Oreochromis niloticus: one gene and its partner. The protein of the gene in region 1 interacts with the protein of each later gene in a pairwise test. Links are inferred from orthologs where the notes say so. Each region holds a gene or a part of one and is shown on either strand. Other genes may lie near its edges. The genes, in order: gtpbp3 and poly [ADP-ribose] polymerase 11.

The links.
Region 2: the proteins of gtpbp3 (region 1) and poly [ADP-ribose] polymerase 11 interact in binary tests that used the Homo sapiens proteins (3 or more experiments, as listed by UniProt). The two-hybrid records come from large-scale screens. The link is inferred for Oreochromis niloticus from reciprocal best matches to the Homo sapiens genes GTPBP3 and PARP11.

Annotation. Positions count from the first base shown.
Region 1 is NC_031981.2:1,938,638-1,949,947, forward strand, and holds the start of gtpbp3 (5-taurinomethyluridine-[tRNA] synthase subunit GTPB3, mitochondrial), read left to right. Parts: upstream 1-6,336; 5' UTR 6,337-7,433; coding exon 7,434-7,498; intron 7,499-7,807; coding exon 7,808-8,082; intron 8,083-9,522; coding exon 9,523-9,609; intron 9,610-10,359; coding exon 10,360-10,442; intron 10,443-11,310. Other genes in the region: ano8b (anoctamin-8), read right to left, coding at 4,420-4,597. UniProt on the Homo sapiens protein: GTPase component of the GTPBP3-MTO1 complex that catalyzes the 5-taurinomethyluridine (taum(5)U) modification at the 34th wobble position (U34) of mitochondrial tRNAs (mt-tRNAs), which plays a role in mt-tRNA decoding and mitochondrial translation.
Region 2 is NC_031981.2:12,135,217-12,146,506, forward strand, and holds the start of poly [ADP-ribose] polymerase 11, read left to right. Parts: upstream 1-6,644; 5' UTR 6,645-6,790; coding exon 6,791-6,836; intron 6,837-7,091; coding exon 7,092-7,216; intron 7,217-7,803; coding exon 7,804-7,924; intron 7,925-8,109; coding exon 8,110-8,185; intron 8,186-8,517; coding exon 8,518-8,590; intron 8,591-9,026; coding exon 9,027-9,154; intron 9,155-11,207; coding exon 11,208-11,290. Other genes in the region: sodium- and chloride-dependent GABA transporter 2, read right to left, coding at 267-396, 1,056-1,103, 4,042-4,156, 4,271-4,411, 4,726-4,860, 5,013-5,202. UniProt on the Homo sapiens protein: Mono-ADP-ribosyltransferase that mediates mono-ADP-ribosylation of target proteins. Plays a role in nuclear envelope stability and nuclear remodeling during spermiogenesis. Inhibits the type I interferon activated signaling pathway.

The DNA of each region.
Region 1 (11,310 bases):
ACGTCTCGCACCATCAAAAGCTGGTTCGCCAAAGCGATCAGTCAGCTGTGCGTGCGTGTGACGTAACAGGGAAAGGCTGATAAAGCTACAGCATCGCAAGCAGCAAGGTCACCCCACACAGAGGCATTTTTCCTTGACTGCTAATGCAGCTAATGTGCAGCTCAGCGCTTACACCAGAAGGCGAGGAGAGAGGGAGGAACAGGAAACACATCTCTGTGGAGCGTGCGATGAAGATCGGGGGACACAGGCGAGGAGGCAGATGCAAGAGAGACATTAAGTTCAGAGTCATTAGGCACAACGCATTGCTGTCATTATATCATACTGCACGACATTCATCAGCCCTTTCATTACGAAGCCGTGGGAGGGCACAAAAGCAGAGGCTCGTCTGCCGCTGCTGTGAAAAGCAGCTCTTCTTTTAGGAAGTTCAGTGGGATGCTTTCCCCTCACGCTGCTGTATTTAAAGCAACCTGTGTGACACTCAACCTGACTAAATCTGTCTGAGGTAAAGCTGAGGCATTCAACTCGCTGAAGAGGCGAGAGAGAGCCGGAGATACAGCGAGAGCGGCGCTCTGGCATAGAGTGTACGGCTGACTGCTTAATATGTTGTTCTCATGAGGACGAGGCCAGACAAGTTTACAGGGATAGAAATGGGCCGCTCCAGTCTCCCCACTGGATCAGACTAGAGTTTCAGATAAAGCAGGGGTCCAAGAATGGTTTCGGACTATCACCTGTGAACTTACTGTCAAATGTATTTCGATTTTACATCAGATAAATGATCACACGGGTTTTCCTGTCATCACAAAGTTACATTTATCTTTATTCCCAAATTCTGGGCTAGTTTATAAAAAAAAAACCTTCCACATTTACAATCCACTAACTGGTGTTTGGGGTCAAAAGAAGCTTTTAACAGCACCATGAAAAAAGTGAACCATTATCAGTGCAGGAATAACCTCAGCGCATACGTGTCCTTAATCCTAAACCACAAATTGCATGGCCTAATTTCCATAACAAATCTTATCAACACTGGCCTCAGAGGGAACACAAACTAATTGGTGAGGCGTTAACGTTGGGGCCTAATTAATCCTTGAAACGCGGGCTTTTGAGTTTTGAGGCTACAAAGGAGGATGGCTGCGAGGATCAAAGTCATGCCAGACTACTGCGGTGGGAGAGATTAGCAAAATACGGTGGAGGCACGGAGACAATGGAGCATCCGAGCCTTTCGGTTCCAGAGCGCAACCAAGACCTCAGCTGCACGAAGAAGTCACCCTGCCCTTGTGCTTTGCTCGCTGACTGACACTGACACGTGCGGGGGCGTTATGTGATATCGTAGTAATGCCACTGAAGTCCCAGAGCCTCTTTTTCATAACCCATGCAGGAGAACAGACACAGGAAGGAGTTACAGTCACTGCTGCAGTAACTACTGATAGCTGGATAGCGGGTTGTTGTTTTTATTTCATAGTTTGTGACAGATGTGGGTGATTATGAGTTTAGTAAGCATGCATGTTGTTTATGCATGACAGTGACCAAACTAAAGGAGAAGGTTAGGACAAAAAATGTAGCTGATTCCCTAAAAACACAGTAGCTGTTGCAGGGGTGTCCAACTCCAGGCTTCGAGGGCCGGTGTCCTGCAGGTTTTAGATCTCACCCTGGGTCAGCACACCTGAATCACATGATTAGTTCGTTACCAGGCCTCTGGAGAACTTCAGGACATGTTGATGAGGTAATTCAGCCATTTAAATCAGCTGTGTTGGATCAAGGACACATCTAAAACCTGCAGGACACCGGCCCTCGAGGCCTGGAGCTGGACACCCCTGAGCTATTGGCTGCATGGTTTTCCCTTTGTTTATGTAATTAACAAGTATTTATTATAAGTAAATGGGGCAGGTCACTCCAAAATCTTATAGTTATTTCAACTTTTATATAAAAATAGGAGAACAAAATGGCAAATCTGCAGAAAAATACATTTGAAACTCTGCAGCAGTGTCTCTTTTCAGAAATCCTGACCCAGTTACTCAAAAACAATACACAAACCTTTACGTAGGAACTATTTTCTCTCACCTAACAGCCGATGGAAGCTTGCAGCTCAAATTTAAGCTCAGCTTAGGGGAACAGCATTAATGTTTACATCGTGTCACACTGCCATGAGCGCGAGCCTCTCGTCACGGGTGAAGGCACTCTTGCTTCTGCACGGCGATACAGTTCACATTCTCGAATATGGCTCCATCATATTTAAGGGAAAGCACACATGTCTGATAACTCCAACACTGGGAGCTCACAGCAGCACAGCTCAGAGGAAAAACATTGGATTTCGTGGTGAACTACCCCTTTAAGAACTGCTTCATGGAAACGTCACTGCATCATTTCATCATCGCTGCTATCTGTGAAACAGTCTTCATTCACTGAACGACTGCAGGTGTAATAGTAGAGCCAGATGTGCTGTGAAAATCCTCACATTTCCCACTATTTGCTTCTCTACATGCATGTTTCTGTAATGCTGGGGAAACTATTACACTAAAGTATCTGTTTTCATGTAGATTCCCACACTGTAGATGGTTTTGAAGTTTAACCATCCATCTATGTTCTTATGCTTATTTAATTCAGGCTTGAAGAGGATGGGCCAGGAGCCAGAGCCTATTCCAGCTCGCTGGACAGGTCACCAATCTGTCAGAGGCAGAAAACCATCCATGCTCACGTACTGAGATTCACCAATCCCCCTGTTTGTGCTGGAGTACCCAGAGAGAGCCGATGGGGGAGAATGTGCAAACAAAACCAAACAAACCTGGATTCAAACCCAGCACCTTCTTAAGTGAGGCAACAGTGCTAACCACCTCACCACCTGCCACACATGTTGATGTTTATTTCTACACATAAGATTCTCGAGCACAGATGAGAACAATAAACATCTCCGAGCCTATGTCACAGAAACCTTTGGAAGCATTATGTCTGGCGTACAGCTAATATAAAACCTCTTTTAGTTACTGTCCCTGCACTGTGGGAAGCACGGGGACTTTCTATAATCTCATTTCTTCTCTTATTAAACTTAATAAACATATAGAGTCAAACAAAACCAACATCTGAATAAAACTGTGATTCCTCTGACTGATCTGAAGATTAACAACACAGTGTTAGAAGTCTGATCAAGCATTCAATGCTAGCTTTCTGTACAGCTCTGCATACTTGATACTATTTAGATTTGTCCCACACATGTTTGTAGACGGCCTCTAGTTAAAGCCCTAGTCTCTTCTCTTTGCCCCGGCACTGCCTCTAGCTTGTCGAACCACCGTAAAGTTGAACTCATCTCCATTTCACCGGCCCTCCAACAGCCTGTAACCCATTCAAGGACCACTGGGTGCCACCCTCTCAACTGGATGACAGGTTGCTCTTCCATTCGGCAGCTGCCTGCTCAGGTTACCTCGACCAAGAGTGGAAAGAAGGTCTCATCTGCTGACAGCCCACTGCTCCACTGCATCACTCTGCAGCAGTACTCACAGGAGGCACGGAGGCTGTCTCTGCACCCCGCATGCAGGAAAACAATCCTGCCTTGGCAGCTGAGGCTCCCTGTCCCAGCTAATATTGTGGTCTGATCCAAAAATAGCCTCACTTGTAAATCTTGCAAAGAGACAACTAAGATATGGGCTGTTCAAATCCACTGTCAGAGGCACGGAGTATTAACATGAAGCAGGTTGATTCTGTTTATCCTTTGTAAATAAAAAGGAGGGAAAAGTCGATTTTATGATTTTTATTTTCTTGCAGCCTCCAATACAAGAACAGCACCGGAGACCAAAATACAATTAAATGTGAGGAGGTGTGAACCAAGAAAAAAGCAAACACTACGATCTTAAAGCAGATTAAACAGGCACCTGTCCTCGAGTCTGTCCAATAGCATGGAAACTGGCACTGAGGAAATAACGGTGCGCGACGCTGTGTGCAATAGTGCGGTCCACCTGCAATAGTTCGGAAATGCCGAGTAAAGTGATCTCGAAGGTAAACAACCTTAAACCTTGACAAGAGAGGACCCCCTTAAATAAAAATAGGCTAACTATCAGCCAATCAAGGCCGCATGTGAGGACAGTATGGACAACAACAGCTGCCCAGAGGGAACAAATGGGCTCATAACAGGAGGCAGGCTAATGGGCTAAACAAACAATAACCGACCAGAAGGTCATAACTCGGATGTGCCAAAGTGGCCATTTTTCCTGAACACCTTTTATCACATCAGTGATTTTTGGAAACAGCACGAAATGCAAGTCAGAGCCATCGTTTACAGGCCTGCTGCCTGACCAGGTGTTGATTTTGGGACGCCCTCGTGGAGACAAAAGAACCGTGCCACCGCGAGGTGCGCGACGGCAGTGCGCCTCTTGTCTCGTTTTCCAACAGCGTCGCGTTCACCTGTCCTTCCCTCCGCCTCCTCTCACTCACCCAGCACGCCGGAGGAGGTCTGTGGCGGAGCCGAGCCCGGATCCGGCCTCTCTGCGTCTCCTTGCGGCGCTCGGTGTCGGTGCCGGGAGCTCTCGGGGCCGTCCCCGGAGGTGGTCGCGCCACCGGCGGCCGCCCCGGCTGCAGCAGCGCCCGCCGCTGCCGTCCCCGTGTCGGGCATGCTCTCTATCAGCGAGGAGCGACTGAGGATGAAGGTATTCTCCGGGAAATCGTGCAGCGGTGTCGCATCTCAAGAGGAGGGCAAAGCATGGGTGTAGCGTAGGGGCCGGTGGGGGGTCAGAGTGGGGGTTAAATGAGAATGAAAGTGAAGTGAAGGTTGTCGGCGTTGGCGCAGCGGCGGATCATCCTGGTGGTACTCTGGAGCAGGATGCGCGGTTAGATGGAGAGCGCTCCTCCAACCACTACAGGAGGAGGGACAAAGAGAGGGAGGGAGGAAGGGAGGGATGGATGGAGGGGGCTGTGTGACACACATGCACCTTCACGGTCGATGACTGATTTAGCGACTGATTGTTGTCTCAGGTTGCATTAGCAAAACTGTTAAATGTAACAAAGCCGCACCACGCACACTGTAGGAATTTAAAAATCTATGCATGCATGTAGTAGCGGTTCCTCCATCTCTGAGAGAAATGTATTTTTATCACCTCGCAGGCTGCAGATCGAGGACAAAAATAGAATCCAAATGGCTACATTAAAGGAAAACTCATTCAAAATGCATGGTTTTCACAGTGATGACATTACTTTACAGGCAAGATGCCCATTCAGATGATCTTTTAATGTGCACGCCTTTGATAATCCTTTCATAGACTATCACTCTTCTTTGAGTATGACCGGAAAACTGAATAGGCTGTGCAAAAAATATCTTCATGGATTCAATTTTTAGTGACACTTGGGTGTGGCTACCGGTAATATCGCTTCTCAGTCAAACACTCTACAGTAAACACAGCGTGGAGCTGTGCAATGTTTGCTTTCCTGCATAATAAGCTTGGTCATTCCATCACTGTATCGCTATAATAAGGCCAGTTTACATGGTCACACTGTCTTGAAAAGAGAGCAAAGAGCAGTCCTCCACCCTAAAGAGACACACATCCCTCAAAATAAATGTTGTTACAGCAGAGCGAGTCAGATGGTCCTCTGCAGGTAAAATATGTGCTTTGTCTTTAATTACTGTGTTTGCCCCTTTTTCAACCTGTGGGGGAGTTGCTAAAGCAAATGTTAGGAGTGCTTGTGTGTGCAAGGAAGGTGAACACAGCTATCGTTGTAGACAAAGATCATTTCATAACCTTGAATCATAATCGGGGCTGAGAGGTAACTGTCTCTGTTTGGACTGTATTCTGCAGCTGTGAGGTGGCAGCTGTCATGCTCTGTGCATACACTGAGCAGTCTATAAATTATTTAGATCCCAGGTTAAAGATTGCTCCCAGGCCTCGGGCCATGCCTCTTCACCGTGTACACAATCTATCATCTTGGTCGTCCCTCCTGGAGGCCGTGTTTCACTGTGCGGCTACAGAGGCAGGCTGGCAGCCCGCCCCCTCGTATGGAGCATCTCATCTGTGAGCACAAATTCTGCTTACTCACCACTCTGGGATGACAGCTGCAAGACGCTGCAGTGGGGCGCACACACACACACACACACACACACACACACACACACACACACGCACACACACACACACACTGATGCACAGAATATAAACAGATGCTCTGTTTATATTCTGTTACATGCACGCATTTATGTAGTATATGAAGAACCACAGATCAAATCACTGTTAGTTTTAATAAACACAGAACGCAATCTAAACAAATACTGTAAAACTTATCATTTAAAAATAAATTAAAAATAGTAGTGCTGTAAGAATAACCCTGTTTGCACTGCTGTTGATTCTCACACACTAAGCGATATTTTCCACCTTGTGCTGAAAAAACCAAAACTTGACTGCTAATTTGTGTCCTCAATAACATGTGCATTCTGCATAATGTGCCAGAGGTATTTCCCCCAGTCTTCGGTGATTTGATAAGAAAATTGGCAGTAAAACAAACTCTGGTCTGTCCTGAACTGAATTTTACAGCCTCCTTTTTTCCATATACTAACCACAAAACAAAGGTGACAGACATGTTGGCACGGACATCGCACAAACAGTAGATCCTTTGACAGCAGGTGCATCACTGAGTTAATCATTTGAGTTCATGTAAACATAAGTAAAACATTAAATAGTAGTGATAAAAAGTGAAATGTTTATAGCCCCAATAATAATGATATTAGTTATATACACAAAAAGTAAAACATTGGAATTTGCAGCAGGGATCGATGTACACCAATGACAGTGTTAATGAATCGTTTTGTGGCCTAAATCACATAAAATCCCTTTATATTAGAGGAAGATTTGTAAACATCACAACACAATTTCAAGTTAAACAACGAGTCATTTTCATGCTTTATTTCATGCAACGCTACTTTTGTGGGGGACAAAAGATTACTGTCAAACAGATTCCTTCCATAAAATAACCAAAATTTTATTTTTACATTTTTAAACGGATGTATTTGTTTAACGTGATATAAAACAACAAAAAAGGCTGAAAATCAGACCTATGATCCCGGAACCGATCATATTTGAAATAGTCACACGGACCGAATTTTCAGCGTACGATAGGCGTGGCTTATGCTAGATTGACAAGCGTTGAACAAACGGGAGAGCTTAATCTGCTGTCGTTAGGAGAAACGGTAACCAATCGGAATCAAGAGTGGGAGGAGCTACTTAAATGTGACTGAAAGATGGGAAGGACAAATCACGAGCGGGATGAGTTTGTAAATTACGAACATTATACTTTAATATAACAGAAGATAAGACGCAAATGATTGAATGTTCGGATTTGGCAGCTAACATTAGCTTCACAGACACTCCGACGTTAACTGAAAAGAAGCAAAGTGGAAATAATGTGTTGGGTGTCAGTCTGTATGAGAAGCAGCAAATAAATGAAACGTTTGGTGTCTCATAATCATGCTGCCGCTGCGGTCCGTGTGTGGTGGGATATGGAGAGCTGCTGTGCACACAGTCAGGACGAGGTTTGTTCTGTTTCCCGGCCTCTATGTCAAATTCATGTCTTTATTTTTATGGCTGCATTCACTGAAGCAAAATAGTGCTGTTAAAATATAGTTACATTGATTTCTTTGGGCACTTTCCATTATTTATCCACACTTTTACCCACACAAGTTTAATGCTCGTTGTTACACTGACTTAACTTGCAGTGTTGTTTATTTAAGTGCTTATTTATTACTTTGATTTTGAGTTTAAATAATACAATAGAGGTATAATAACTGAAAACAAGATGTACAATATGTTATAGTATGAATCAGTCATTTTCTTATTTCCAGCCGTGGAGCTCCACCCTACAGGCTCCTCTCCTCTACCTGTGATGGAGCCCCGGCTGCACTGGCTGATGCTGACACCATCTTTGCGCTGTCGTCCGGGCACGGCAGGTGTGGGGTGGCAGTGGTACGTGTCAGTGGTCCCGCCTCAGCTACGGCCCTGAGGTGTATGGCTGGGTTCACGCAGCGTCTGCCCCCTCCACGCACCGCCCTGTTACGCAGCATCACAGACCCCCGCTCCACAGAAGTGCTGGACCGTGGGCTCGTCCTGTGGTTCCCAGGTCAGTTCCACTGGACCGTTCTTACATTTTGTTCTTCTCTTTTTTGTCTGAGAATATGAGGATGTGGATATGTTTTTGTTTAGAAGCACATAAGTTACATTCATGTCCAAAGTTGTATCAGCATGTCCCAGATATGTAGACAGACTCGTACTTAGTTATGGTAAAAAAGGAAGTATTCCCTCAGCCAGTGTTATTGTTTTACATATCAGTACACAATATAAAAATGATGTCGTGTTTGGCAGGTAATAAAAGTAGGTAAATACAACCTGAGATGAATATTGCCGTTTGATGTATTACACAGTGTCATTATTCCTCAGGCAGGGACCACACCTCAGTTCTGATTAAACAGTGCTTATTGAAACAGGATGATGGATGGAGTGAGCACAGATCTTGATTGATGCTGCGGTTTGGGGAAGGCCTCAGAGAGGATCAGCAGTTTCTCCTGAGTCCTGGGTACCAGGAAGCAGTGTGTGAAAAACTAACTACACTCCATGATTCAGGAACTAGTAGAACCACATTTAGCAGCAATAGCTTGAAGTATTGTTGTGGAGGAATGTAGGCTCACTCTTCTTTTCAAATGTGCTTCAGTTCACTGATGTTTGTGGGTATTTATTAAGCCACAGCTCTCTTAAGGTCCCAGCATCTCAGTCACGCTCAGGTCTGGACCATCGCAGCACCTTGATTCTTTTATAGCCATTGTGTTGTCGGTTTACTGCTGTGCTCGGGATCTTTGTCCTTATGCAGGACCTAATTTGGCCAAGGTTTAGCTCTTTGATAGACTTTTGACTCCAGAAGACTTTAGCGTACAGAGGAGTTCATGCTCGACTCCGGGACTGCAAAGTGGCCACACTCTGTGGCCAAACCTTCATCACTCCAACACTGTGCTGAAGTGTTTGTGCTAAGATGCTGTGTTTCTCCACTTTGGTCTCATCTGCCTAAAGCACATTGCTACAGAAGGCTTGTGATTTGCTCAGATGCAGCCATGCAAACCGAACATGCTAACTGAGGCCTGCAGAGTCTGAGACGTAGTTCTTTGTTTCGTTTTTTCCCCCCATTTCTCTGAGCACGATCTGAGCTTGGAGTGACTTTGGTGGAAGGTCTACGCCTGAGAAGTCTAGTATCTGCCTCAAATGTTTTTCCACTCGTGAAATAAGGTTTTTTCACTGCATTGTTTGGAAACGGTGGAAATAGAGCGGTGCGCTGCTTTAAAAGTGGGACACATTCTCTAAACAACATTACAGAGTTTGGTAAAACCACATCATTTCTCACTAACATTTAAAGTCAGTAACCCACAAGTGAGGGCTGCTGTGTTTTATCTAAAACCAGTAATAAATCTTTCCAGCATGTCACGTCCTGCCTGTTATTCACTTCATTTCTCTTTACTATGTAAATAGCTAAAGGACCCACAGAGTGTTGTTATTCCTTTGTTTGTTTCATCAGCTCCTCGTAGTTTCTCCGGAGAAGATAGTGTGGAGTTCCATATCCACGGAGGTCCCGCAGTCATTACTGCTGTCTTACAGGCTCTTGGTAAGATGCGATTCTCAGTATAATGTTTTCAACAACTTGATATAATTCAATGTGACAAGCAAACATATGCAGACTTGAGATGCAGCGCTCCCTTTGAAGAGCGTTTTGAAGTTTGAGTCTTTGTAGCTTCCTGAGCTCTAAGCCTCCGTAAGTACGATATCTGTTGGAGTCAGGCGGCTATCCATCACTGCGACTTAAAACAGAGAACTGACGCATGCATCGGCGTGTCTGAGATACTTTTAATATGCGCTGTGGCAAGCGTGACCATCCTTCTGTGCTTGATGTTTTTACTGCAGTTCTCCTGTTGACCTCCCAGGGGGCAGCATTGTATAAAGCAGAGAGTCAGTCTATGCGCTGTAAGGTGTTTTTCTAAGCAGGGAGGAATATTTAATATTACATTACCTTTGTTTTCAAGGTTCATTCAGATAAAATTGTTGCCTTTGTTTGGAAACCAAAAACACTGAGATTGTCGGCGAGATCAGTCGGGTAAAATGTCTCTAATCAGGAGACGGTGACCCACGTTTGCCAAATGGTTTTGCACTCACTATTGTCTCTCCTGATGAGATTTGCAAAGTGTCTGAGAAAACAATGAACCCATAACCTACTTAACCTGTAGTTGTGCCTGTTTTTGCTCTCTACGTGAGTCATTGACCTTGTGTTTTGTCCTCCGTGTGTGCATTGTGTGCACGATGCATGCCTACCTCGTGTCTCATACATTTCTTCGTGTTTGTGTTTACGTGTGTTTTTCAGGAAGCGTGCCTGGCTTGAGGCCGGCCGAAGCGGGGGAGTTCACGCGGAGAGCTTTTCAAGCAGGGAAACTCGGTTTAACGGAGGCGAGTCGAGAGGAATGTGTAAAACACATTGTTGTGCATCTAGAGTTATTATAGCGGCCTGTTCGGGGATTTCATACGCATGAAATGTAAACAGGGACATCTTCTCCTTTTGCATATTTTCCCCTTTGGCAATTTTATTTCATTGAGTTGTTCGATATTCCCGCATTAATGCAACAACTGTGGGCCTCTGTAGATGTTTTTTTTAATATACAGCCTGAAGCATTAATAAAAGTCTGTTTGGATTTTCTGTGAAGCGTAAAAAAACCAATATATTAACCTCACACAGTACATTGGATATGAATAACACGCACGTACAATTTAATAAAGTTTTTAATGGACTGTTTTGAGAGGACAAGTAAAATTGCAGATGAGCCAAACGCTCGCAGAACTTTCAGATAAGATGAGTTTTATTGGTGCTGAAAGGAATTTGGCCTGGGTGTCTATTCTGTGGCAGCGACATCCCTCTCTAAACAGCAGCAGGATGCACTTTCCTGTAGATAACACCTAATGGACATAATAAGGGAAAAACACTTGATGAAACAGCCCGCAGCACTTCTGAAAACTGTTGTCAGTGAACACAATTCATTTTAAAATTGGTGTTGGAAAAGCCTCTGATGATGGACGCATCAAAGTTTGCAAATATGTTTGTTGGAAATCGTGGGCGCCAAAACGGGTGTTGCACGTATCCCAGCAGCCAGACTCTGGGTGCTGAACAGGCAAGACCCACATCTGCGTATTCAATGGGCTGCATTATATATATTTATATACACCTCAGCCATAAAAGGCTGATTGGGGGGCAGGGGGGTGATAGGTCAGACAAGTTTGAATCCCAGTGTCTTTGACCAAAAGGTCAAAGGTCAGAGGGCAA
Region 2 (11,290 bases), about 10 Mb from region 1:
TCAAATACATATTTCCTGGTTAATATTAAGATAACAGTCACAAATACTCAGATATCACACAAGCAAGCTAAAAGTGCTGACTGACAGCTTGTGCTGCCTTTTTAATAGGGAAGGGTTTATAAGCTACATGTTTTTGCAGACTGAGAATCCCTTCTTACCCACCGACCAAACGAGAAAAATGTAACACATCGCTTTGCACACCATTATAAAGCTTTAACAGGGACAGCTTTAACAGCTGATATCCTCCACGTTAAGGAAATGCTTACCTTTCCAGTTGTTTTGATTCCCTTCCAGATGCAGAAGTAACATATGATCCAGGCAAACATAAGACACAGAGCCAGATCCCAATGTATCTTACCCAAAGACATGTTTTCTGATATTCTTAACACACGGTTACTATGAAAAAAAGAGACATGTAAGAACACATGAACACATGCATGCTCTCCAAATGCTGATGAATGCTCCCTAAAACCCCCATTCTTAAAATCTTCTCCCACTGCAAATAAACAGATCCTCATATATACGTCAAAAGAACAGCACTAAGCATCTCAACATGAATACAGATGTTGAAACTGCTCCCTGTTTATTTTGGATGGATACGGTTTACATTATAAATGGGCACAGCAAAGAGCACATATTGTTTTCATTATGGAGCACAGTTGTAGTGCTGAGCGATTTCCCAATATTTGTTCTCACACAAAATCAGGAGGTTATCATGTGAAAAGAGACAGCCATGTTTCAACATGTCTAAAAGAGAGAGGAGCAAACAACTTTGAATGAGAGTTGGAAGTTCAATAAAAATGCTATTATTCAGTGCTATTATGTCTTTTTAGGAATGTAACTGGCTGCTTGCTTTATTTGGGTGGCCTCGGTTCACCTTCTGTTGGCTCACTATTCACACCGTGTTTTCTAACTTACAATTATCTTTTGATATCTGGGAAGCATTGAAAGCTATTGCTGAGGAATTTTCCACCCAAAGACAAGCTAAATAGGGAGGGTGACTGTCCAGCTCTTCTAATGTTCAAGGAAAATAAAGCAATGAGTGAGTTTCTAACCTCCAGAACTCCTCTTCTGGTGACGTGCTCATCAATATTGTTTCATTGCTGGAAAGAAAAAAAAAACAAGTGTATAAGGAGGGGTGAAATTAAACACTAATTTCAAATAGTCCTTTAACAATCTAACAGTTTCATAAAGACCACAAACACGTTTATTTTCATAGTAAATGTGTTTTTAATTTTAAGTGGATCTTATGTACTCATTTTTGGCTTCAGATTTTTATTGTTCAACTCTACTAGAGTAGCTTTGCCTGATTCGCAGTTTGAAATAATCCATATTTATCATAATGGGACTTGTTAAAGGCCTTTACTTCATCCTAACAAACAAACAAAATGTTTGAGTTATTCTTGCTGTAATCGGAAATCTAATCAAAAACTAAGAATATAATTATTAAAATGTAATAATTCTAATGTTTAAACTTTTCAACCCACACTGTTTCTGCATGTGCGTGTGTGTGTGTGCGCACGCACTCTTTCTGTGCAGATGTGGCCTTGACCTCTGTGTGTGCATCTAAGGACCCAGCCTAAATAATTGTCTGTTGTCTGATATGTCTCAAATCGGGTGATTGCACATCACACCAGGTGGTTGGTTGTTAACGTGGGATGTTGGTTGTCTCAGAGGATGTATAAAAACCCTCTATAGATAACGATTAGGCGTTTTTTCCTCTGGCCATCGTTGAAGTGAGCAGATTAGAAGACAACTCAGTGGATTTATCCTTCTTTTTCCAACCCACTATGGATTCACTATTTTTGAGATTTGCTCTGCTTACTACCGGAATCATAGATTGGGACTTAGAGGAAGTTTTGGGAACATTGTAATGGGTTCTACCTCCTCAGAAAGAATTTCTGAAACAATTCCTCTACAGCCAGGGTGTTCTCTCTGTCCTCCACTAAAGCCTCATCAAAACTGGTAATGAGTTATTAGCAACAGTTTAGATTTCATTGTTTTATATTTTAAAATGTGTTACTTTTCTTGAAATGTTTAAAATTTAAAAGGATTTTATTCTTAATAATTGATGAGCTGATTGCTTTGCCCTTGTTAAATTGCTTAGTAAAGTATCCCATCTGAAATTAAACTTAATTATGTGGACATTCCCTTTTTGATTTTCTTTTTAAATGAAAAGGTAAAACTTGGGTATGAGTTTGAACATCTACTTTTGTGAGGTTCTTATAGGTTATTCTAGCCTTTAAGAATTAACAGATCCCTGGGCCCACCTGTCCAAGTCACCAAAGTAAATTTTGTAGCAAATTTGCTCGCAAAACTGATTGTACCTTATTCAGGGTTGGTAGTGTGGTGCATCATCTAAACTATTGTGGTACTACCCCTAGGATCAGACACTCAGACCCTTTCAATGGAGACCCAGTCCAGACTTCTGTACAGAGGTAACTGGGATCTTAACAGGCTTTAAAGGGTGAAGTGAGTTTTTGTGCACTACTGCATTGAGATCTGGTGACTGTGGAGCCCATTCAAGTACAGTGAACTCACTGGCATCTTCAAGAACCCAGTTTAGGAAAATCTGAGCTTTGTGACATGGTGTGTTATTCTGATGGAGGCGGCCATCTGAAGATGGGTACACTATGGTTACAAAGGGATGAACATTGTCAACAATCAATACTCAGTAAGGCTGTGGCATTTAACTGATGCTCAGATGGTACCAAGGGCTCCCAAGTGTGCCAAGAAAATATCAAGTTATGCCACCAACAATAGCCTGCACAGGCTCACCAAATTTGGCAAGCCTGTGCAAATTGTAACCTCCATTTCCTGTTCTCAGCTGACAGGAGTGGCACCCTGTGTGGTCTTATGCAACTGTAGCACATGTGCTTTAAGTTCAATGTGTTGTCTGTTCAAAGATGTTCTTCTGCACACTTTGGATGTAACAAGTAACAGTGTTACCATTGCCTTGCTGTCAGCTCAAAGCAGCTTGGCCATTCTCTTATAGCCTCTAGCATCAACAAGAGATAACTGCTGTAGATGTCCAGTGACAGTTCCTGTCATGTGACTGGTCTGTTATATAATTACATTAATGACCATTTAAACAGGTGTAAGTGATGAGGCATCAGTGAGGTCTATGTGTCAGAAAATAAGGAAAAATAGGTCCACTTTAGTAAGAAATATCACAAAAATGTCCAATCAAAGAGGAGTAAAGGGATATCCAAAGCAGTGCTTATAATAATGTAGAGAAGACATTGCATTAAATATACCTTAAATGTGGCACCTTTCAAACATTTGACATTAAACTAAAGCTTGACAAGTCCTTTAGATTTATTGGGTTGCTTTTCACCGTCATGTTATCCTTATATTATCCCAAGGTAGGAGAAAGTAAGCATTTCCTACCCTGAAAAACATTTACAGTACATCTGGAAAGTATTCACAGTGCTTCGCTTGTCCTTCATTTAATTATGGTACAGCCTTATTCCAAAATGAATTCAATTATTTTTTTCACTTTAAAATGCTAAACACAATACCTCATAATTGCAAAGTGAAAGCAGTTTGCTTGTAATTCTTGCAAATTTGTTAAAAACTTTTTTTTTTAAATGCCATGACATATAAAAAAATAGGCATTTTTACCTTTTTTGGACTGTGGAGCAGTGAAGATAGACAGGACAGTGGGGAGAGAGAAGGGAAGTCATGCAACAAAGAGCTGCAGGTTGTTTTGATAAATTTGTAAGAATTTCAAGCAAACTTTTTTCATTTTTTTATTATGGGGTGTCGTGTGTAGCATTTTGATGTAAAACATGACTTTACTCCTTTTTGGAATAAGGCTGTAACATAACAAAACGTGGAGCAAGTGCCATGAATGCTTTCCAGATGTTACTGTAAAGCATGGGTGCGTTCCAGAGATGCTATTGTGCTGTTTAATCCCATGATTACTATTAAGCTTTTCATAGTCAGACTCTTTTCAAGTCCACATAAAAAAATTTCAGTTGAGCAGACAGAGTGGGGACAGTTAATTTGTACAACTCAGAAAAACAAATTGCAACTTACTAAGTTGTATTCTCATAGTAGTCCATTGAGGTGACGTTGTGTAAGAATGACCAGTTGGACCCGGCCTGAAAGAGTTGGGGGTTTGCAAAGATGCTCATGCGACTGTGGCACAAGTCTCAGCGATTAAAGAAAGAGGGATAAAAGTGAGAATGTTAGCTGTTTTCTCTTAAGTCTTGAAAAAAAAATCCCTGCTTATCAAATACAGATGGGTTTAAGCAAGCATTCTTACCAGAGTTCCACCAGTTGTCACATGTAGACCAGGGCAGGGGACTTTTGAAGGAGTTTATTAGGTAGAAGATAGCCCATGCCAAAACAATAATGTAGTATATGTTCAGATAGATCACAATCACTTGGGACGCAAACCCCACCCCTAGAGGACAAGTGACATTTCAGACAGTTAAAGGACATTTTTGGCTGCTGTCTTCTTTTCTTTTATGACAAGAAGACAGAAACATTATACAAAAGCAATTCCCAGCACCATGCACGGTCAATAAATCCTCTGTTTTATGTAATTAAGTTAGATAACACCTTAGTCAGCTACTGGATCTGAAGCTTGGAAATATAGACTTAGCCTTGTATATGTGACTTTCTTTACTGCTAACTGCTACACTATTGTTTTTGCAATTTCCATGAAGAAAGCGCTGTCAGAAATATGCAGTTCCTAAATGTGAGCCTTATTTTTACCCTGAAACATGGGACATATTTTCCTCCAGGCAGTCACCCCACCCTCACTGGTGTACTGTCCCAGCGCTGTCTCCAAGAAAAACACGGGGATGCCACAGAAGAAGAGGAACACGCAGTAGGGGATGAGGAAGACACCTAAAATTATAGACACAAACTATTTCATCAGCAAGTGGGTTTCTTTTTTTGTTTTGTTTCGTTTTTTGTTTTTTAATGAAGGCCCTCCTAATCCTTATCTATTAGTTGAATGTTTCCATCAGAAAAACTCTCCCACAAACCCAACCTCTCACCTCCTCCGTTCTTGAAGCACAGGTAGGGGAACCGCCAAACATTTCCGAGGCCAATTATTTCACCAGCCATAGAGAGTATGAACTCCATGTTGTTGGCCCATTTTTCCCTCGACAGAGCCCCTTCCTCAGGAGCCTGTTTATCTGCCTCAGAGTCTGCAGCAGGAACATTCCCGGTTGTTTCCTCAGTCATGGTCTTTCTGTCTTTTGTACAGCATTTAAATAAATATCATGGCATACCTGTTATATTCTCCCCCAGCTCGTTCTTGCATGCATGCAATTATAAATCATGAGCGTTGTAATTTAACTGATGAGCCTCACATTCGCCCTAATAAAGCTTACTAAAGAGATAAAGGCACAAAAATAGCATTTAATTGTTTCCTCCAGTTTCACATGGAGATTTGAATTGATGCAACTTACCAGTGAGCTTGCAGCGAGCGCCACAGTGAAATTCCTCGACTGTATGAGCGAAGTTTGCAGAAAAGTTTCATTCTATTGAGGGGTGTGTCCTGAAGGACAAGTAGCCACACACGCTCTGGATGTGCCATCCCTACGAAAATGCTCGTGGATTTTACTCAAACGTCTCAACAACATGCACACAAAAGCCATCTCAGTGCAGTGTGTTATGCACAAGTAATTGCAGAAATTGCACTTATTGTCGTCAGATGGAATAAAATTATGCACGATTGTGTATTATCGTAGAATAATGATATTAGCGTAAGCTATGTATGTTTGGACCCTAACTTCTAGCGGCCTTAATTATGCTGCTATAAACTGCCTAGGGTACCATGATTATCAACATCGACACAGCTTTTAGGAATTAATTTTATAACATGCAAATTCTTCCACCATATATATATGTGTAGTAGCTGGTTGTACGTTGCATGTACGTATGCGTTGTTGTTATGTTGTCTGTGTTATCGTCTGTACATAACTGCTAGTCAAACAGTAAAGTTAATAATGCCGGACTTTGAATATGCAGCTTGAGTAGAAGAAAAATACGAAATATATGTATGTATTATTCATTCCTCTGGTTTTTATGAACAGTTTCTTTTGTCATCTGTGCCATCTACACAGTGATGTGTAATACACTAAAAAAAACATGTCAGCGTTTTAATAGGCTACATGAGCTAAGCGAACAAGCACAGTCCGAAATGATAACAAGGGTGCTAATGTTTGAAAAGTATTAATTATAAATTGGTTCTGTAGTGTACGAGACAATCAGGTGCCAAGAAAAAATAATGCTTTGATGGTTTGAGTATACATGGCAAAAATAATAATTGCCGTCATTATTTAGCTTACCTAATACCCAATTTATTTGTTTTATTGACTGCACTGAAAAACAAATAAGTCAAAAATGACAGGTTGAGCTAATTATTACCCCCGATTTTTAGATTATTACAGCGACGTTTCGATTTTTTTATTTTTGTTTTATTTTTTTTAGGGAGGGGGGGTAATGACTTTAGTAAGTAAGTTTCCATACATTCCTCTTAATTTATTTTATTTATTTATTTATTTTACCGCGTCTGTAACTTTAAAACACCTGAGCCGTATCACATTGCACAGTATTGCACCGGTAGTGCGCCTGTCAGGACAAACTCCGGGAAACAGTGTCCCGTTGTCAAGGAGGGAGGAGTTACATGACGTCTACGCTTTGACGTGGAGTGTATGACGAACGGGGAAATAAAAGTAAACAACGCCTAGGATAACGAAAATGGTTTTCGTCAGTCCCCCAAGCTTAGACGGAACCTGTGATTTTTCTGAGGCTTTGTTGATCATGTATGAAGGCTTTGTTTTCCGATAAGGACAGAGGCAGGCTGAAAACTGGTAAGACACCAGTAGAGTTGAGATGAGTCGGGTGCGGCATCCGCTAATGATAGCTTAGTTCAACATGGCAGTTTCCTGTATTGTATGAAATTGTTTACAGGATGTAATGCTCTCACGACCGTTGCTAAAAACAAGTCCTCAACGTCAGGACTGTCTGACGACCAAAACACCACCTTAGGCCCTCCCCCATACTTTCTTGTATTTTAGTTGCTATTTGCCTAAGTGTGTTGGCGTGTTTTCACTTATTAATTTCAGATTTAGCTATGTTAGCCATCAGATCGTCAGAGGAGGAGTCCACTGAGATTGAGGAGATGGACACCTCAGAGCCCAACTGGTGCTGGTTCTACTTGGCTGAGTGTGGAGTGTGGCATATGTTTGAGGTAGTTCACATGATACCACAACTTTATACACAATAGCAGACTTTGTAACTGGCTTTACTCTGTATGCCCAGCATATCGCCCCTCCTTTGGTCGTATTTTGCCAGACTCTGCAGGTTTTTATTCCCCCCTTTAGCTCATCATCAATACATTTATAGGAAAAAGAAAGGGAAAAAAAACAAAACATTGCCTTGGGTTGATTATAGGGAGGCACAAAAATGGCCATCATGTGCCAGCAAACTGCCATTCTCATTTCCAAACACTACTTAGGTTATGTGTTAAACTGCAATTAAAAGGAATTTAACAATGATGCATCAAAAATCCATGAACACATTTAAAATGTGTTTTCCTGGTTTATCAGTTTCTGACAGCGAGTTACACTCAGCTGTCTTATTTATCCCACCAGTAGCTCAAACCACCAAATATATAAGTGTCGATTTATAAGATGAGCTTTAAGTCAAACCAAAAAATTGATGTTTTTTCAGATAAATTTTAAGCCTTTGACCTAAATAAAGAATCAAGTCTCTTAACTAAGTGTTAATTAACTGATTGGCTGGTTAACTCTTATTTTCCTTTTATTTCCCTGTCAGATTGATCCCAGTGCAGCCTGCTCTGTGACCAGCGCTCAGATTGAGCAGTGCTACAACAGGAACCAGCGTGGTGTGATGGAGTTTTACACAGCCAAGTACACATACAGACTGGACTTCTCAGGTGCAAACTCATGAGTTAATTAAAGTAATTCTAAAGGTACTTTATCCAGGCTGAGAGTGTTAAAGCTTCTTTAAAGGAAATCACGTCACATCAGTTCTATACTGAGGATGAGTTAGTTTTTCTGTTGTTTATTTTGTTAAAGAAATTGCACATGAACACTTAATTGTCATTAAATCCCCAAACAGTTATGCGACAGATAAATGTAACAACAGGAAAGCAACGGCCGATCAAACGCTCCCTCCACTCTGCAACTGGATTTAGGTAAGATTTGATGGTTTGAGTGTACATCCAGAGAGCCTTTTTATATTTTGGTTTTATTTACTTGCTATCACGGAAAAGTTATGTTAAAGGGGTTTAAGAAGACCATGTATTAAATGGAAGTTTAGGGGTCAAGCATCTCTTGTCCTTAAAATCCTGGAAATGAAATTAACAAAAGAAAAGAGAACAATTGCCTTTTGCCCCCCTTTTTTTCTTTTTTCTTTTTTTTGCAAGCGTTGAATTATTTTTGTGTCTGAGCATAAAGCAAACACATCCATTCTCATTCTGATGCAGTGATTTGTTTACTGACTCTTCTCCTTTGTTGATCCTCTCAGGTTTATTTGTGATAATCTCGCTTTGCCTGTTCCCTGTCACTGGGAGAGAATAAACACAGATGAGCCCTATCAGGTGAGTACAGAAGTACGGAAACACATATTATTGTTCCTCTTAGCTTGGTTCACACATTTTTAGTATTGAGATGATACCTTTATGTTCTTCTGATTTCTGATGTAAAAATAGTGACAAACATGGAATAAAAGGTTATGCAGTTGCTACAGAAGCACTGAGACTCTTACACTTCGTTATGCTTTATTTTCAAAAATCAAAGACATGGACTTGGGGTTCTTACAAAAACAGTGCAGACTGGTCAAAACATTTAGAAGGGTGTGCATGTGATTGTATGCAGTGTTTTGTCAGTCCAGAAGTTCCCAACTTTGTTCAGCCTGAGGTCAAACATTTGCAAATGAGAGAGAAAAAGAGGAAAATATATATATAGATATATATCTATATTTGAAACACACTGCAGAAAAAGGTAGAGTTATGTGAGTGTTTCTTGCCTTTGCAGCTCATCCAGCTTGGCAGAGACACATATGAATTTAAAGAAGTAGCCAGACTGTATGAAAGAACAATGGATCATCCAATTAAATCCATCCAGAGGATCCAGAACCTGGATTTATGGGAGTTCTTCTGCAGGTAGAATATTATTTTCTACATTTTTGTGAGGAAAAATGTTTCATTGTACGTACTGCCTTAATTATACTTCATTGCATTCCATTAGTGACACTGGGAAAAATGTAAATTCTAGTTTTCCCAAATTTCCATTAAAGATGCTGGCTTTTTTCTTAGCATAAATTAAAGAATTGAACTGAATTCCATGAATCCACCCCTTTTAGCCGACGTCTTCTTCAAGCTCGTCTCCTGTGCACAATGTGCACTTGTGCTACTTCTAGATCGCTTCGTGGAAATTTCCAGTATGCATCTGTAATTCACACTGGATCACCTGCACTGTGTCAAAAAGGCATCTCTTCAACTTGAATGTAATTTAATTTTCATTTTATAAAGGAAAACAAAGTCTGTTGAATAGGGCAAAGGAAGTAAAACTCCTGCCTTTACAGTGCTGGCTGTGTGGGCATGCAGTGGCATGTTGGCAACTGCTACAGTTCAGGGTGTTTGTGCCAAATTTTTTCTCAAAAATGTCCCAGAAATGTAATGCCAGTTTGACCCCGTGGGACGAATTCACAATGCACTTGTAAGTTTATGTGGTTGAACAAATTAATTCACTAAAAGGCGTCAGTTTATACATATACCTCTTATTTTTATTTATTTATTTTTTTATTACTATGTGCATATTAGTATTGTACAGCACTTTGGTCTACCAGGTGTGTTTTTAAAGTGCTATATAAATAAATGATGATGATGATGATGATGATGATGATGATGAAAACGCTTTGTGATTGGGAAGTTTCTGAGCTGGCTGCTCATTCCGGCCTTCTGAAAAGGCAGAGGACTCTTTTTTTTCTGTTTGATAATAACCATTCAGTGGAACCGGAACCTTATCCACTTCGAAGCCCACGTTTGTACATATTTTCTATACATTGTTAGATCAAGCTTACCTGTATTCCCCACGAGGTGAATATAGTGCAAGGTGACTGGGTCAGAAACAAAAGCTGTTTTCAGGTTTTTTTTCACTTGCTAGCACATCCTAACATGTCAACACACAATAAATTACTGTACTGTTGTTATTATTATTGTTCTTATTGTAAACATATTTATTGAATTTTGTATTCATAAACATCCAACACTTTTAACACCTTGAACACATGGCAGTAAGAAAGCACTAAGAACACAAGACATTCAAAAAACAAATTAAAAAATAATAATAATAATAATAATAAAAATAATATTAATAATACTAAAGGAAATTTAAAAAAATATAAAATAAAATACAAAAAAAAGTACAGGATAGTCTATACTGTATACATTCCCAAATGTAGTTGCATATTTTCATTACTTCACTCTCTCTCTCCAGTTCCTCAATGTCCCCAGTCTTTAATAGCTCCAGAAACATCTTCCAAATGTCAAAAAAGTCTTTTCCTAACCACATAGGTCAGTTTCTATTATTGTTATTGTTTTAATGGTACTTATATTGCGCCTTTCTGCTTAAAATAGTACTTAAAGCACTTTGTATTACAAGTGTCGTTCACACATACATTCATATGCCGCTTTTATCTATACCTAAGCCCTTTCTCACATTCACATTGCGACAGATGTATCAGGGTCAACTCGGGGTTCGGTATCTTGCCCGAAGATAATTCACCATGCAAACTGTAGGAGTCAAGGATCAACCAACTGGCCTTCCAAGTCAGTAGACAATGCGCTCTACCACCTGAGCCACAAGTGCTAGAGACTAGGGGCATTGGTACAAGGTATTCATCTTCACAGCTGACAGCCCACAGCCATTTCCAAACTGTTTAATGCGTGTGAATTTAGTTGAAGTTTGCTTTCTGTACTGTGTGCAAGTGGTCCAAGCAGGCCTTTCAGGAAATGATCTAAAAATAGCAGCAGTACTGGAAGTGATCTAGAGGTGCACAAGGTGAAAATCCTGAATTTCATAGATGGGGCAAAATTAAAATTTTGCTCTTCATGGGAAAAGTTGCTGAACTTTTCACTGATCAAACTTTGTACAGTCATGCAGTATCAAAGTCATTATTTGTTTTATGTTGTCATTCCTTGGTACTCCTCTAAGGAAGAAAACACAGTTGCGAAAAGTCAAGCGAACACTGGATATTGAGGAGCGAATGCTGTTTCATGGCACGGGACACAGCAATA